Mus musculus: one gene and its partners. The protein of the gene in region 3 purifies or fractionates together with the protein of the main gene of each other region. This does not show direct contact. Links are inferred from orthologs where the notes say so. Each region holds a gene or a part of one and is shown on either strand. Other genes may lie near its edges.

Region 1 (5,877 bases), about 37 Mb from region 3:
ACGAGTCAAAGTGGCCAGGTCTGCTCCCACAGGTGGGCATTCGGGGACAGGTATGGAGCCAAGAGCAGGTTCCTGTGGCAAAGAATGATACACTCTTCCTGAAAATGAAACAGCAAGAAGGGCCAGGGCCCAGGCAGCAATCTGGAATGGTCTCTTGGATAGGAAGCCCCACTCCCACCCTGAAAAAAGAAAGTAACAGTCACAGACGAGGCAGGTTCTGGAGCATGGCCCCGCTCTAGAGCGGTGAGGGTCAGGCCCGAAGCCCGGGCCCACCAGTAGGCACGTGAAATAGAATCTGGGGCTGGCCTTGAGTGGGTGGGGCAGGTTTCTACTCTGTTCCTGCCTTGCTCCACCATCCCCACATGAGGTATTGCGCTTTCCCTCCCCCCTTCCCCTTTCCCCTCTCCCTGCTTATGGCTGCATCCCATCCCTGCTTATACTAGGGGTCATAAGTAGGGACCAGCCTATCAGCTCCATGCGGCTTTATGTGGGGTCCAGCTCAAAGACCCCATCACTGGTAGGGGTAGTAAAGAAGGAAGGTGGGTCTGAGACGGTGGACTCTGGTCCCCCACTGCCCCGCCCCCCGGAGCGCTTCCCCCCCAGGCGCAGGCTGCGTTCAAAGTCTAGCAGCTGCCCCATAAAGTTGAAGTTAGGTGAGATGTTAGACTTCTTCCGCTTGACCAAGTCGTAGGCATCGTTGAGTGAGAGGTGAAGCTTCTGCATGAGGTAGGCCACGGTGACAGTGACAGAGCGGCTGACCCCTGCCAGACAGTGGACGAGCACCCCACAGTTCTGCGACAAGGCCTCATCTAGGTAAAACAGGACAGAACAGAAACACCCCCTAAGGGTCACTATGAGTGAGACCAAAGCTATACGAATTTCTGGGATCACCATCACTGCCTCCCTACCCTGCCGAGACCATATCTGAAGGATCTCTCTCACTGGCAGTTGACCTGAGCTCTACCCCCACCTCCCCAAGTGTCACGTGGGCTCTGGGAATGGAGTCAGGAGGACGAGAGGCCAAGAATCAGTCTGGTGGGTGGAGATTGTGGAGGGGGAGGGACAGGGGGACAAAGTAGGGAGGACTTACCAATGAATGCAATGGCCTCCGGAAAGAACTGGGACAGATTCTGGCTCCAATGGTCAGAGATGGGGATCTGCTTGTAGTGGAAGTCACCATTCTTCTCAAAGAGGTTAGGAAGGTTGGGGGTGACATTGAGGATATAGCGGATGCCAAGCTTGGCCAGGCTCTCCAAATTGGCTGAATCTCGAGCACTGCCTAGGTAGAGATTGGGCAGGATCTGGACTGGGAAGGGTGGTAGCAGCCCAGCTGGAGGGGATGTGGTGTTCTCAGAATCTAGGCCACAGCTCAAGGTGTCACGGTCAGCCTCAGACTCTGCATCAGAGAAATCAGAGCTCAAGCACAGGCCACCTAGCCCCACCACAGGCACTGGGCTAGACATTGAGCCCAGGCCTGAGCCGGCACGACCACTGAAGCTGGTTTCACACAGGTGAGGACACTCGGCCTGGAACTTGCTGAAGCCACCTGTCAGGAAAGAAGGGCGAGGTCTTACTAGTTAATATAGCCTCTGGGCAGCCAAGTATCCCTAGCTGGGGCTAGGGAGCTGACACCACACAGCTCTCCGGGGTGGGGGTTGCAGATATTGCCAAAGGGAACGCATAAGCCAGCAGATTTGTTTAAACCACATGTGCTGTGCTATAGACAGCCATCCACCCTCACTCAGCATTAGTGACTGTTTCTTTGGCTGATAAGTGCCCAATGCAGCCCTTAGTCTTGGGGCATTATCCTGTGAACCAGGTTGTTTCAGGTCAATTCTCCCCATTATCCAGACTTATAAATGGGCTTGGAGGGATGAAGGACTTGCCCAAGGTCACGGTCAGCTCTGCCTCCCCAAAAGCTGTTGGGCAGGTTATCAGGAGGGAGGCGCTTACCCTATATTTTAGACAAAATAAGATTGAGTTTGCTGAAGGATAAAGTAATTATGAAATCCCCTTGGAAAGAAGGATCTTTTCTCCTGACCTGAGGCCTCTCCAGAGTGCTCTCTCAGGCCACTGACCCTCACTTACCCTGTAGGTAGTATGCTGGGTAGCCTTCTTCCCGCAGCTTCTGGAGCAGGACGCCCAGCACCGAGTCAGCATCCCACTCTTCTTTGGCCTCCGCTTTGGCCTCCGCTTTAGCCTCCGCTTTGGCCTCCGCTTTGGCCTCCGCTTTGGCCTCCGCTTTAGCCTCCGCTTTGGCCTCCGCTTTGGCCTCCGCTTTAGCCTCCGCTTCGTTCTCCGCTTCAGCCTTAGGTTCGGCCTCCGCTTCAGCCTTAGGTTCGGCCTCCGCTTCAGCCTTAGGTTCGGCCTTCGCTTCAGCCTCCGCTGCTTCACGATGGCACTGGCCACTGCTACCCTGGTCGTACAGGAGCACAGGGGCCGGTGGGGGAGGCTGCAGTGGTGGCCCAGGCAAGAGCGACCGCACCGACATGCTCCCCCTCCGCAGGCGGCGCAGCATCAGCGAGGGCAGGGCCACGCTCAGCGCCCCGCAGATGCGCGCCGACTCATACAGCTCCCGGCTGCGGCAGTCCAGCAGCAGAAGCTGTGGGCGCGGGGACGACAGCTCCTGACGCAGCCACAGGCATGACCGACTCAGACTCTCCATGGTCGCGCAGCGTCCTGCACGTCGGGCAGTGGGTGCTGTGGAGAGAGGCAAGGCGCGGAGTGAGGGCAAGTTTGTCTCTACTCCTGCAGCGTGGATCAGGCTACTGAGGCGGGAAGTCAACCCCTGTCCTGAGGGCAGGCTTTCAGTGTCCCCGCAGGGACATTCCTCTACCGCCTGCTTCTCTCCTCGCGCTCCACCCACAGTGAGAACACCAAGGAAGGCGCCCCTGGAAAAAGACCCGAGGCTGCCGCCACTTGGGCGCTGCTCCCTGCCCCGCTTACATGGAGTTTTCGTGAGACATACCCCAGAAGATAGCTGGGCGTCTACCGGTCTCTGAAGTGCTAGGAGGACTAAAACCAGTTCCCTCCACACCCCTTTTCTGACTTTCTCATTTGCTCTGATCTCCATCACTCCCCAAGTTCAATTTTGGATGTGTGGAGAAGTTGGGTTCAAGGCCCGGCTCTCCTCTAAAGCCCGGAAGACCCAGAGAACAAGAGGGTCACCGAGGTTGTGGGCCTCGGCGAGTCCCGTAAGAGCTGACTCGGCCCCACTCCTACCCACCCCAGGAGAGAACAAAAGGAGAGACCTGGAGCGAGATCCAGAGGCAGGCGACTGCACCCGGACGTCCTGGCCACAGCTAGTGCCACGGCAGGGCGTAGGTATCGTTCATGGAGACGGATCCCCCAGGCTTGGGCGCTCGGAGAGGGCGGGGTGGTGGAGCAGGCTCGCACGTGGAAGCCAAGCCTCGCGCCACTCGTGCGCCGGCCGCTTCCTGGCAGCAGAATCCAGATTCCACCTTGGAAGGCTCTGCCTTCGGACCGACTAAGTAGCAGCTCAAAGGGGCGGGACGGGGCGGGGCGGTGGGGCGGGCTCAGGGAGCAGGAGAGCCAACCAGGGCTAAGGAAAAGCCTGGTGGGAGTTGCAAGCCGCAGGCTGAGCTAGGGCTTCCACCCAGGCGGGACAGGGTCAGGGCAGAGGCCAAGGGCAGGTCGGGGGCCCAGCAGGGGACATGTTGCAGTTGCCCCTGCTTGGCGCCAGTCTGGTCCCTGGAAGCAGGAAGAGGGGTGGGGACAAAAGCCCAGAGCCCCAGAACCAGAAACTGTCTCAAACAACTCAATAATGCTGAACTACCTGGAACTAGATGGCCCCCATCTGTATAATGGGCCAATCAGAGCCTTCTAATGTATTTTACTGTGAGATGCCACTAAAAAACTGAAGGCACAAGGCAGCTCCTGGGTGTGCTATTTCCATCTGGGCTTCATTTGTACAGGCCTAGCTAAAGGTACACAAGAATTCCGAGCACCCAACTCTAAACTGAGACACTGTGCTCTTATCAGGTGAAGAGGGGCGCCTCCCCAAAGCCTCTTTCCCATAAGCCCCTGGATGGATCCACGTGGAAAGAAGTCGTTTTACTGCAATATGTCCCCATCCCCATTCTCCTTCTGGCTTTTCTAGTGGTCATGACTATACAAGTCACTGTCCCAGTTTTTGAAACTTCAGCGTGTCTCCACCCTGCCCCATTCCAGAGCACCATTCAGTCCACTAAGGCTGGTGGCCTCCAGCCAGCCCACTGGACAGGTGATGAACAGGAAAGACACACAAGGGCTCTCCTTGCCTGGGTGTTCTAGTCCAGCAGGACACACTAACAATAAGCAAAGGCACTGGACCAGATATCGGGGTGATAAGTGCTGACAATGAAAGGAGAGGCAGGGGAGGCTTCTAAAAAAGCCCCATCTGGCCATGTGTCCTTTCTCTGCTAAAAGCCCAAGAAAAGCAAATAACAGTTTTAAAGGAAAACACACAACAGATAAGATAAAGCTCGCACAAAATAATCAAAGGGTTAAGACCCCGTAGATAAATGGGTAAGGAACTCAAGGACTGCATACTCTGCCCAAAGGAAGGAATGTGATGGGGTAAGAATATATGGGGAAAGGTTGAAGCTCAGGCATGGAAGGAAAGCCAATTCAAAAAAATAGGGAAATACTTCCCAGTCACTACATTAGTAGAATGTTCTCAAAATGAGAACGCCAAGTGTTGGCAAGAGCTGACTGGGGCTTGATTATGTTGTGGACAAGTTAGTGGTGGCATGAGGCCATGGATGCAGACAGCTGAAGAGACAGTATCTTACCCTCCCAATCCTGGAGGTTGTGTACTTGGAGGGAGGATCTCCAACAAGAGGGAAATACTGGTATTCCCAGAAATCTAGCTGTGCTCTCCGGAGTAGGCTTTCTAGAGGAAGTGATAGGAACTGCCCTGGAGGATGAGCATGGGAGAGAGGCACCTCTCCATGAAGGTACGGGGAGCCTAGGCATCAATAACCCGTTCCACTCCTGTCCACACCTGAAGAATATTTTCCCTACACCTAGTCCCAGGCGCCTGCTGGCAAGGCCCCAATTCTAGCATAGGATAGGAGAGGATGACTGATGCTCCGTCTCCAAAGTCAGTGCTCAGTGCCCAACGCATGCCTCGTTGCAGTGCCAGCAAACTGGACAAATGGGAACCTGTTGCCACCCCCGCACTGCAGGGTTCGGTGCAGCCAAGGCCTCCCCTCGCCTGCCTCTACTAACACCTCCCCCCCCTGCCCCGCAGCCTCTGCTGGAGCTCTGGCCCCGCCCCTCTCCTGCTTCTGGATTCTCAGGCGGACAGGATTTGGGGAAGGCTGCTGCACGTGGGGCCCTTCCCGTCCCACTTTGGCGGGTGGAGTCAGGCGAAGCACTCATCACTCGCCTCAGGGTGGGCGGTGAGCCCACTGTCGCCCACGCTGGGGGCCCCAGGGCTTCCGACTGGCCAGCCCAACGAACCTCCCCCCACCAGGTCCACTGCGTGCTGTGGGCGCTCTCAGGTCCCCCAGATGCCCGAACGGCACTGCTCGCAGCAAAATGCGCGATTCCCGCCCGGCCCAGTGGCAGGATTTCAGTTGTCGCTACCCGGTCACATGGCCCGTAGCGCAACTCCCAGAGACAACGTTTCGACCAAATGCAGTGTCTTTTCCATAAAACCCACTTTCCGCTGAGAATGGCCTTATGATTTTCCTAGTAGAGCTCCTCGCGGGACTGAGAGCTCCTCCAAGGCAGGAACCGGTGTGTGCCCAGTCCCAAGCTGACCTGAGACTCCCCAGTGAGGGACTAGTACACGCTCCGGGTGCTTGCAGAAGAAATGCTCATTAACAAAGAAGGCATGAATGAATGAAACTAATTGTTGCCCGGAGGAGC
Region 2 (6,016 bases), on a different chromosome or scaffold from region 3:
TCCAATCCCTAATACCCATACTGAAAAAAAAAATTCCAGAAATATCACACCAACTTCCATACAAGTTCAAATGCCATGGCACATGCATGCACAAACAAAAGATAAAGTATCTTCTGAGAATTACATTTAATGGGGAAAAATACAACTTTATATGCTCATCTATTAAAAAATAATTTTTAAAAAGTATGCATGATTACATACCCCTGCAGTCCCAGTTACTTGGGAGGCTGAATTTGGATGACTAAGTGAACTCAGAAATTCAAGATCACCTTACAGTGAGGAGATAGTTAAGTAGTGGTGTTTTCCTAATTGCTAAGTTCAAGGCTCTAGAGTCCATCCTCAGTATTTGGGGGATGAGGTAGGATAACAAAGACAGAACAACATCCTGAGAAACAGTGTGACCTGCTCTATAAATGAGACCTATACCTTACTCACATGTCATATTTGGGGGTTTCTGCTTCATGTGTTGGGAATGGAACCCTGGGCCTAGGCCAAGAATTATATACCACCTTCTTGGATTTGTTTTCATTAACAGAAACATAGGAGTAATTTGGTGGTGGTGGGTTTTTTGTTTTTGTTTCGTTTTGTTTTGTTTGATACAGGGTTTCTCTGTTGTAGCCCTGGCTGTCCTGGAACTCACTCTGTAGACCAGGGTGGTCTTGAAGTCAGGGATAAATCTGCCTCTGCTTCCCTCATGCTGGGATCAAAGGTGAGCCACCACCACACCACCCAGCTAATAAGTGATTTTTTTTAAAAGAAACTTTTTCCTATTAATTCACTTTAAGATGTGAATACGCAGGATGGAGAGATGGCTCAGTGATTAAGAGTTGAATTCCCAGTTGGGCAGCTTACAACTGTTTGTAATTCCAACTCTAGAGAATATAATGCCCTTTACTGGCCCCCATGAATAATATATTGCATATATATTCACACCAACATACACATATTTTTAAATATATATATATATGTACATAGTACACACACACATATTAAAGATTTATTTCATGTATATGAGTACACTGTCCTCAGACACACCGGAAGAGGGCATCGGCTCTCATTAGAGATGACTGTGAGCCACCATGTGGTTCCTGGGAATTGAACTCAGGACCTCTGGAAGAACAGCCAGTGCCCCCAACCGATGAGATATCTCTCCAGCCCTAAATAAATCTTAAAATGATTTTTTTTAAAGACAAGAATACAATATAAAAATTGTCTAGATTCCTTAAAAAAAAAAAAAAAGAAAAAAGAAAAATTTCAGGGCTGAAGACATAGTTGCTGCTCTTCCAGAGGACCCAGGTTTGATTCCCAGCACCAATATGATGGGTCTCACACACATGGTACACAGACATACATGCAGGCAAAACACACATACACAGAAAATTAAATAAGCCTAAAAATTCTTTCCTAGCATTTGTAGCAATAACAAAGCATTTAACAAGCATTTTCCTAATGAGTTTTACAGTAAGCTATACAGACTACAACTATCTTTGGCACTTTAATTACTTCTTAGGACTTTTTATGAGCTGCCAATACTATTTGTCCATTTCCTTACACTTTCCCAAACAGTTTCTTAGTATCTGCCCTCTCAAAGGCAAAGCAAGTAGCACACTCATCCCCATTTCTTTCTTTCTTTCTTTCTTTCATTCCCATTTTTAAAGGATAGGAATTAAAGTTATCATGCTGGACAGTCTTCTGCAGTTATTCTTAGCAACTGCCACTCTACTCCCTCAAAGTTCTCTTACTGGGCAAGTGACCTCTGCAGGACAAGGATGCAAGGTGTGTTGTCAAGATGCACATGCCTTGTGGCTCTTGAAAGATTAAGGAGTTAATTGCACTGTTGAGTTAAGATAGCAAGGAGGTGACACCCATTCACAGACAGTTCGGTAAACTCCTATTGTGAATGGCTCACTACTATATACAGTTCTTCAGGGCCTGGCTCACCTGTAGTGTACCCCTGCCTGGCCTGTAAGCTTAATTACAGTATAAGTACAACATGAGAATTGATTCTGTTCATGCCCTTTCAAAGGTTACTGGAAAATATACAAAGATTTTTAAGGTAACCCAACTTGTCCCCCTTTAAAGGGGTGGGAGGGCAAATTATTTTTAAAAAACAGGCAGATTCTTCCATTTCTGAAGGGTAAAGAGACTGTAGCTCAACTTTGCCAAGCTTTTAGTATTCAGTTTGGTTTAACTTCACACAACTAGCAATGCAATCACTAGTGTCATGACCAGCAGTTAATACACAAAGTGTCATCAATGTGTCCTCAGGTCTTGGCACACAGGCCTTCAATATAAACATTAGTGTATCAGTGTAATGACCAAGGCATTCGGATTTCAAGAAGCCAGTTCGATTCCTACCCACTGAACCTTTACTACACATCCAATTTCTCATTCCCATTCCCTCGGAATTCAATACAAGGCCCATCAGTCATTCTGTCTACTCCTGGGGACTGAGCCCTAAAGTAGAAAAAAAAAATCTCCCAAATTCCCACTCCCCCGATTAATTGCAGTTAGGTGCTTGAACCAGGACTTTTAACCCAAACGGTCTAGTGCTCAGTTACAATCCCAACTGGATGACTAGAACTACCTGTATGACCTTGGGCCAGTCATTTCAAACTTCTAGGCCTCAGTTTCCTCCCCTCACTAACTGAACTTTCGCTTGTATCTCCTGCTCTTAAGGTCCTGTGAACACCCACACTGGATTACTATCTATCCACCACCGAATAGGCAGGTGCTTTAATAGTTAAGCCTTAAGTTTCTCAAGCGGTACACGTTCTAGTACATTCTACTCCCTCATCAGGATGCTATGGTCCAGTCTTCCCTTTGGGCAAGTTATTTTCTAATCTGTAACGCTTATCTCTGGATTTACTTCACCTTTCCCTGCTATTTGGGCTACCTACTAGGCCGAATTCTAATACCACACCTGTACCGGATTACTCAGCCCACCTCTGGGTGGGCCTGGCCAGGGCCTAAGAAAGCTCTAGAAGCAAAGCCGTAGGAAGTTGTTAGCTTTCTCAGAGGTCAAGGGAAACCCCAGGACACCTGCCACGCCTCCCGACCCCGGCGGCGCTGCCCAGGCTAGCCTCTCTAACCCGGCCGCTCTCCTCACTGCCCTGCGCGTCCGCCCAGGCCTGCGCCATTCGAAAGCCCGCCCGACCCCTCAGTCGTCGAGCCTACAGCCACGCCCGACCCCCTCCGCCACGGCGCCGCTCGCCCAGTCCCCCAAGGCTCGTCCCGGGCCTGAGATCCCCGCACACGCTTCCCGTCTCACCTCGAGCCTCCCGGGGACCACTGGCGGCTCCCTCACCTTCTCCCACCCGCACACCCGGCCCCGTGCTGCAGTGGAGACAGCGGCAGAGGCGGCCCGACCGTCACGTGCCGCAGAACTAAGAGGCCTCGGCTACGGCCGCCGCGCGAGCGAGCCCCACCGCACGAAGCCCAACCCCGCGTCCGCCCCTCGTTCCTGAGTGGCTAAAACGAACGTCAGATCCCGCCCCTTTGCGCAAGATCTAAGAATTTATTGGTAGATACAGCCATCGCTCGAAGCGCCTTCCCATACGCCCCCTAGGGCTATTCTTCGTGGAGCGTGGTGATTGGTCAATAGCGAGGCAGGAAGTGGTTGCTGATTGGGTATGAAGGAGGAAGGCGGGCCGTCACCAAACGGGCGGGCGCGCGCCGCGGAGGGCGGACGGATCTGGCACGCGTTCTCGCGTGGGTCGCCCTAGTCCCTCAGGGCGGGTGTGTTGGACATCCAGAAGACGGCTTTCCGACCCATTGAGTTAGGAACTCTGTCCCAACCCCGCCTGGGACCTATGGCCTTCATCACAAATGGTGAGAGGTCGGGCGGTGTGCTTGCGCAGTGAGTGAAATCCCTCTGGGTAGCAGACACCGCCTTTCCTGCGGAGTCATCGCCCTGAGCTCAGGAGCCTGAGACCTCTTTACCTAACAAAACACTACCTAGATTCACAATCAAGCCACATGGAGTCACTTTCCCATGTGCCCGTGCTGTTTCCTGATTTTAGTCGTTAAAATCAGACATACCTAAGCGACAGAGTTGAGGAAAAGGGTGATGCCATGTGCAGATTTAAAATAGCCTTTTCATAACCCACTCGTTTTTCAATATGCTGATAACGCTGTAAGATTGAAGTGGCTAAGGATTTGGCTAGATCCTTGAGAATCCTGATCGCCTCGGGTTGTATTTGGTGACCCAAAGCTTTGAATAATGTGGAAAGAAACAGCAGGTTTTTCTACATGTGAAACGAGCTTTGTTCCTGCCACCCCAAGAGAAAGGCAGTAAGGATTTGATGTTTGGGTCAATTTAGTAACCGCCAATTCTCTCTCCCTAATTTTAAAGAAGAGAAATTGCTTTCCTTATTTGCCTTATAAAGAGCATGTTCAAAATGAAAATTTGAAGCCAGCTTGGCACAGGCAGTACACATAATTTAAAAAAAAATTCTAAATTTACTTAGGTTGAGTTCTGGCTTGTGTTACCCAAGATGGCCTTGAATTTAAGAAAGCCAAAAAATCGACTTCTGCAGAGAGGTGTTAAAATATGTCAGTACTGAAGGAGTAGAGGAGTTGAGGCAGAACTTTTCTGTCTAAACTGACAAAGACTTGAACTGGACCTCATAGATATGCAAATTTTCTGTAGGTGGAGTTGGAAGGAAGTTCTTGAGATGAGAAAATTGTACAGAAGAGCAAAAAAGTGACTCTCAGGTATTTGGGGGATCCATATACTAAAAATGTTTTGGGAGCAATGGAGATGGCTCAGCAGGTAAGGACACTTGCCACCAAACCTGATGGCCTGAATTTAATTCCCAGAACTCAACGTGGTGAAAGAAGAGATTGAATTGTACTCTGACCTCTATACAAATTCACATACATACATTAATAAATGTGAAATTTTAATAAAAATGAGGACATGATGGCTCTAAACTATACTGTCCACAAAGAGACTGGGAACGTCAGTCTTCTGGTCTGTTCATGGTGTGTCATTATAGAATATTACAAGTTTCTTTTATGTTTCAGTTTATCCAAACAGCTAAACCTTAACAAAGTTAGCAAATACAAAGAGACTAGGCATATACCTTCAAGTCAGTTAGTGTTAACCTGAGTAGACCTTCAGGAATTGATGAGCCTTATTTATCAGAGATAGCTTATTCATCCAACACAAGTTATTACTTATCTAAAATTTTCTAGAAGCTTGGTGTTGAACAGTCAGCAAAAATATAAGTGGTTAGACATCAGTCTCTAAGTCTTAATTCTTTCTCAATGTCTTCATCCCCAATCTCTCTTACTTGATTTGATCCTACTTGAAGCAACAGTACTCATGTTTCCACCCAGTTTTTTTTTTCTCACTGGCTACATTACTATTGATCATTTCTTTGTACACACTAATCAGGCCCTGTCAAATTAATTGGTAGAAAATACAACTTATTTTATCACAGATTCATTAAACATTTTGCACTGATCATGTAGATTCCTTTTAATTGTCTGTTCATGGAGCTTGTCCAATTTTTCTATTCTAGGCTTTTCTTACTGGCTTGTAAGAAATCTACAGCCTAATGGTCTTGAGAGTGAGTTAGTTTCGATGGTTTGTAAGAAATCTTCACTCGCTGAGATGCTTCTTAAACTATTACTGAGAACCCACCCATCTCCAGCTTCATTATACCTTTTAAATTAGGAGCTATTTCTTTTGTCTTTTTGTTTTTTAAAGATATATTTTATTCCAGCACTTGGGAGGCAGAGGCAGGTGGATTTCTGAGTTCAAGGCCAGCCTGGTCTACAAAGTGAGCTCCAGGACAGCCAGGGCTACACAGAGAAACCCTGTCTCGAAAAACAAAAAAACAAAACAAAACAACATATTTATTTATATGTAAGTACACTGTAGCTGTCTTCAGACACCAGAAGAGGGAATCAGGTCACATTACAGATGGTTGTGAGCCACCATGTGGTTGCTGGGATTTGAACTCGGGACCTCCAGAAGAGCAGTCAGTGCTCTTAACCACTGAACCAT
Region 3 (5,939 bases):
TGTCCAGGCAAAATGTGGCAAGGCCCCTGGATGCATCTCTTCCGGCAAAGACCCCATATGGCCCCTCTTTAAAGACAAAATGAAACCAAAGACAGATTCTTTATTAGATAATACACTTTTCCTTGGCTCACGTAAACAGAAGACGGCTTCCTTGCTTTCAACACCAAAAGCCTCCTTTTAATTTGTTTGTTTGTTTGTTTGTTTTGAGACAGGATTTCTCTGTGTAGCCCTGGCTGTCCTGGAACTCACTCTTGTAGACCAGAATAGCCACAGAGAACTCACAGAGATCCATTTGCCTCTGCCTCCTGAGTGCTGGGATTAAAGGAGTCCACCACTTCCTGGCTTCACATTCCATTATTGAGCTGCACGAATACACTTTGATCATTACATAAGGGCATTGACAGACTTACTGTCACTTTGATAAGTAAAATGAAATAAAGATGTGTAGCATTTGAAATCTATGTCCTGCACATAGCTAATATAAGCTCAAGTAGTTCTTTTGACGGTGGCCTTAATGGGGATTGTTTGATTATACACTCCATGGGTTAGAATTCAGCTCAAAGACTTTGTATCTACAGGTTGGCTCTATTCTGGGTGCTTGAGCCAAGACAGTCAAAGTTACAGTTTCTAACCACTAATGTGTAAATGAAAACATTTTCTTATCAACATATTCTGATATGTTTTAAATGATCTTTAGTTGCAAGTCATGAACCCTAAGGCATCTGCAAGAACAATCATTTTACAAATACCAGTGGTTCCAAAGCCTCTCTGCGTTATATAACCTTTACTGTCTTATTTAAATCAGAACTCACAACAAGGGAGATCAGTTTTGGTACTATTATTAAGTGTAAGCATACAAATGAGTGTAAACAGCAGTGAAAACACTAAAATTTTCACTGAAAAGGGCTGCAATCAACGCCTTCAAATAATCTCCTAAAACCTGAAAAATGCTACTATGTATAACATCATAGCAAGCTTTTGTCTGAGGACAGTGGATCAATCTGAATCCACCTGAAGTGGTTATTTAGAGTTAAATATTGCACAAACAAATGAAAGGAATTCGGAGTACTTTAAGCAATGCCTCGTTTTCCCAAAAGGAGGCTAGATAGCAACTCTGACATTAAAATCGTCATACCAACTAGGAATGGCTGGTATTTCATTACAGTGTGGTTATCTGAAACTTTAGTCGACCAAACTGTTTTTCTTTCTAACATATTAAGATCCATTTTTTGTAGGACTGGGGCTTTGCATATTCTAGGAAAGCACCCTAGTGCTGAGATATACTTCAAACCCTTAGGATCATCTTGTAAATGCAACTAAGATTCTAAAATAGGGGTTGGTTTCAGTCCTCATTGCATGCTGCCACTAGAGAAGGTTTAAAAAGAACAAAATTCATATGCTTTTCACAAAATATATACTGCTAATGGAAATAGTATCACCTAGTGCTTGGAAACAAAGTCAAAGTCTTGGTTTGGACTCTTACCATTTTAGAAATTACAGTCCCTGGACTGGTAATGCATACTTAAACAAGATCTAAGGCAAATATTAATAGTCTTTGGAGAGTATATTTTGTTCACTACAAAGCATATTAACTAGATGCTTGGTGAGCAGAGCTTTGTGTTTTTCACTCACTGCTACTCGCTAGCATCTACGACTGTGCTGTACAGAGTACTAGACACTCAAATGGCTTCACTTCTAAGAGTACTCTGTAACAGAAAATATTTCCACTATGATACTATCAGTGTTCCTTGGCCTCCTCACACTGGGGGCGTGCTTGTCTTTTTATGTTCCCAGAGGGAAAACTAAGGCCTTGAGACCATAGGGCGTTGCACCAGATCACACAGCTGGTCAGGGACAACAGCGAGGCTAGAATGTAGAGTGCAGGTTGACTCCTAGTTGTAGCTGTTCCAGTACACACATCGATATCCGGCAGGATGACTCTGCAAACTGTAACCTACCTGGTTAGAATGGAGACAGCTTGACTCCAGCTGTGCTCTCTGAAAGCACGGAGGATCCCCATGTGATGACTTTGCAAATACAACCAGATGACGAGGCCTCGTGCATTTGTGTTGATTACCTTATGGTTTAGCTTAATAATTATGGGTAATTACACCATTGTTTATGGATAATGTGTGACTACAGTGACAAACAATATGTAGTTTTCCTATTATTTTGCAGTCACATGCCTACAGAACGTAATTTTCTAAAATGTCTGAAAGCAGAAAGGAAGAGTGAGAGTTCACTAAAAAGCCTTTGGCACATGTGCTTTTGATTGGCTGGACTCTGAGACGTAACAGAGTGGGTATGTCTGGTTTGGATTAGTGCTGGCTAGTCTTCCCTCTCAGACCAATGAGCATGTGAACATACCCACCCCCCAGCCCCGAGTTCCTGGTGCTTAGAGGAATCCATATTGGGAGAGCTAAAGCCTCTTCTTCCTCTCTAAATGTTCTAGAAAGCAGGGCTTTCTAAATCTGGCTGATTCCCCATTTCCCTACAGCAGAGGAGTAAAATGTAGATCTTTTTAGCCCTCTCCCCTGCCCCAGAGATCTAAGTGTGGCTATGGATGGTCAGGCCAAGAATCTGTATTTTTCATAAGCATCAGGTGATTGTGATAGGCAATCCAGTTTGGAAAAGCCTCATTTCTGGGGAGTTGTCCATCTCTTGTTTTCCCCTTGGTTGGCTTTTCCTGAAATCCCCCCACCCATCGGGCTTCACAGCCTTACCCTATTGTTTCTCAGGACCCTTCCACTCCTCCCTCCCACCCCCGTTTCATTTCATTTTATTTTTTCCACCTCCCAGTCTCCCCACTCTATCATACACTAAATATGGTGTTTCTGACCATCTCACCATGTTACCATAGTCCACCACACACTGCTCTTAATGCATCCAACCAAGCTTGGTCGCTTATTCATCATCCAGCCTGAGTCCACCCCACTCTGCACGCACATACACATACCAAAGACATACCTAACACATGTCACATTCCAAGCGCCACCCCCCAGACAAACGGTGTACACCAAACACACATTCACTGCGCATGCACACAGTGTACACACACACACACACACACACACACACACACACACATTCTCCGCCAGGAACAATGCTGCTTTACCTGACACTAATCCCCTTCTCCACTTTCTCTCTTTACACACCCTTACATTCCACCATGGCTCCTCCGGCGTCATCGGCCTCCACGTCTTCTCAAGTGTCTGGGCCTCTCTGGAGACACCTTCATTTTTTCCCCTCAAATCCGAAGTCTCCCCCTCTTTTCAGGACCCCCGCCCCAAAGCCCACTACCTTCGAAAAGTTCCCTAATATCCCGGGGCTTCGGACCTCGCTGTCCCTCCCACCCGCGGTTTCCAAGGCTCAGCCTCATTCGGGCATCCCATCCCCCCGTACGCACCCCCACCCACCCAGAGCCTCGTGCCCCCGGCCCGCTCCCATTGCTGCCCGCCTTCCCTCCGACCCTCCCACGGGGGCGCCCCACCTCCCCCGGCCTCTCTCCCGCCCCGCTTCCACGCCAGGGTCCCCTCTTTTGTCTCCACGACCCCCTGGCCCTGCCTCCGTACCAGGCCCGTAGAACTTGCGGCCTTTGGTCACGTCGAACACCTTGCCGTTGATGGCCATGAGAATGCGCGGGTCCTGGACGCCATCGAAACGCCTCAGCTCGGCAGGGGTGAAGTCGCGCCGCTTGAGGCGGGGCAGCGGGGGTGGTTCGTCGTCGTCGTTGTCGCCACTGGCACCGGGCTGGTCCCCGCGAACGATCTTGTAGAGCAGGAAGATGCAGAGGCCCAGGAGGAGCAGGTTGAGAGGAGACGTGAAAATCTCGTGCAGCAGCCCGCCGCCCTCTAGCTCGCTCGGGTCGGCGCCAGTCGCCACCACATCCTCGGCAGCCATGATCTCTGGAGCAAAGGTTGGGCCCGGCTAGGCAGAGCTCCGGAACAGTCCGCTTCCTCCGCCCTCCCAGCGAACAGTGGCGCGCAGCGTTCTTTGACAGAGGAAGAAAAGCTCGGGAGGGGCGGGGCTCCGGGGGCGGAGCCTATAAGCCCCCGCCCTTCGCGGCCACCTAAGCGCCCCGCCCTGCTCGGGCTGGCTCGGGCAAGCTGGGCCTGGTTCGGCCTCTGCTTCGGGCCCCCTATGTAGCCTCGGGGGTCTTGGTCTTTCTCCCTCAACCGCTCCGTCAACCAGGGCCACCGAGCCCAGCCCACCTCTCTGTTCTACCTGCTGGGCCTCTGCCCCGGTTTCCGGGCACCCTCAGATCATAGTGCAGCTCGCAGACACACAGCTCAGTCTCTTGGGTACAGTGGGTAGCTTCCCGCTGACCCTGTGGGGAAGCCTTGACTTTAGGGCCCGCTCCTCGCGGCAAATGACGTCAGTTAAAATGAGGTCGCATTTCTCTTGCTTCGCTTCTATTTTAAAGCCCCTTATACTCTCTCCCCTGGGCCATACCCTTAGAGCCAGGTAGCTGTTTTGGGATACTCTAATATCATGCCTTCAACTCCTTTTCACCTTACAGTCCTAGACTATTCGAACATCCATTTTGGGATGGTTCGCCTCCAATTCTTGCCCAAAAGCTGTGGGACTAACACCCAAAGGACAGCCAGTCAGGTAACAGGCCTGTCAATTCTATAAAATCTGGAGCTCAGATCGCCAGATTTTGCGTTTGTTCTTAAAGTTTTTTTTTTTCTTTTTGAAATCATCAATTATGCTTAGTCACAAGGCACCAGTAATCAACAACTGACATTCTGTTGTTGAGCCTTTTTTTTCTATAGAAATACCAGAATAATGTTCAAAGTTCCGTTGCTTGACAGCATTCTTCTATTTGAAGTCTGTGGAAACTACCCTTGGCAGTCACTGTAACCCTGAGCACAGCCCCTGATAAACGCTGGAGTTTGGAAGGATCCTAGATTTTATCTTTTTAGATTCCCAGGCTTCTGGTGTGCAAACAGGCTGCACGGGAGCAGGCCTCTATGGAACAAGGATTGTGCCTATTTTTCAGAGACCTAATCTGGCTGCCCCCCCCCTTAAATTGTAATTGGGAAACGGTAACATAAGAAAAAGGAGAATAATTAAAACCAAGCCATGCACACATCTGCAGAGCAGGGCACGACTTTTCCATACAATCCTGTTTGTACACCACTTACATGCAAGAGATTTGTGCAGAGAATTGGCTAAATTCTGAAAACTTTTGGCAAACACTGCTGTAATCCCTGCCCCCCCCCATCTTCTTAAAGTGTAATGAGTCAAACACTCTTTATATCCAGCCCACACATTTTTTCCCCCAGAGCTAAATTTAGGATTAGCTAAACCGGCCCCTCCAGATCTTTTGTCAAAACTCTTCAACTTAATCATCATGAAACAAGCTCAAACTGAGAGCACTCAGCTCCGGTTAGAATCCAGTTATCCCTTTCACAGAGTACTGTGAGCAGCAAAGATATTTCTTAAAAAATAACAAACTTGTGAAAAATGTTTTCATTTGAAACTAATATGGCCAAAAAAAAAAAAAAAAAAAGGGGGCTGGTGAGATGGCTCAGCGGTTAAGAGTGCCGACTGCTCTTCCAAAGGTCATGAGTTCAAATCCCAGCAACCACATGGTGGCTCATAACCATCTGTAATGAAATCTGATGCCCTCTTCTGGTGTGTCTGAAGACAGCTACAGTGTACTTACATATAATAAATAAATAAATATTTAAAAAAAAAAAAAAAAAAAAAGAATCTATCTTTCAGTGTTCATGTTAACTGATAGGAAGATCGTTAAGAGGCTGAGGAAATGGCCTAGTGGGCAAAACACACTGGCATGCAAGTGGAAGACCAGCTTCACCATCCCCAGCACTCATATAAAAGCTATGAGGGTTTGGCAGCTAGCCTTTAATGCAGAGCTGGGGAGTGGGCAACAGGTTAACAGACTATCTTTTGCCCTGCTATCTAAGGGGGGG

What was found. Proteins that work in one complex are often made in the same cells at the same time.
Region 1: the proteins of Pgrmc1 (region 3) and Dusp9 purify together in Homo sapiens (affinity purification with mass spectrometry; 3 studies listed by BioGRID). This does not show direct contact. The link is inferred for Mus musculus from reciprocal best matches to the Homo sapiens genes PGRMC1 and DUSP9.
Region 2: the proteins of Pgrmc1 (region 3) and Canx purify together in Homo sapiens (affinity purification with mass spectrometry; 3 studies listed by BioGRID and IntAct, with this or other methods). This does not show direct contact. The link is inferred for Mus musculus from reciprocal best matches to the Homo sapiens genes PGRMC1 and CANX.

Annotation. Positions count from the first base shown.
Region 1 is NC_000086.7:73,637,016-73,642,892, reverse strand, and holds the start of Dusp9 (dual specificity protein phosphatase 9), read right to left. Parts: upstream 3,453-5,877; 5' UTR 3,252-3,452; intron 2,701-3,251; 5' UTR 2,666-2,700; coding exon 2,089-2,665; intron 1,547-2,088; coding exon 1,091-1,546; intron 810-1,090; coding exon 484-809; 3' UTR 1-483. UniProt on the Homo sapiens protein: Inactivates MAP kinases. Has a specificity for the ERK family.
Region 2 is NC_000077.6:50,322,222-50,328,237, forward strand, and holds the start of Canx (calnexin precursor), read right to left. Parts: upstream 3,453-6,016; 5' UTR 3,272-3,452; intron 1-3,271. UniProt on the Homo sapiens protein: Calcium-binding protein that interacts with newly synthesized monoglucosylated glycoproteins in the endoplasmic reticulum. It may act in assisting protein assembly and/or in the retention within the ER of unassembled protein subunits.
Region 3 is NC_000086.7:36,596,248-36,602,186, reverse strand, and holds the start of Pgrmc1 (membrane-associated progesterone receptor component 1), read right to left. Parts: upstream 3,995-5,939; 5' UTR 3,901-3,994; coding exon 3,573-3,900; intron 67-3,572; coding exon 1-66. UniProt on the Homo sapiens protein: Component of a progesterone-binding protein complex. Binds progesterone. Has many reported cellular functions (heme homeostasis, interaction with CYPs). Required for the maintenance of uterine histoarchitecture and normal female reproductive lifespan.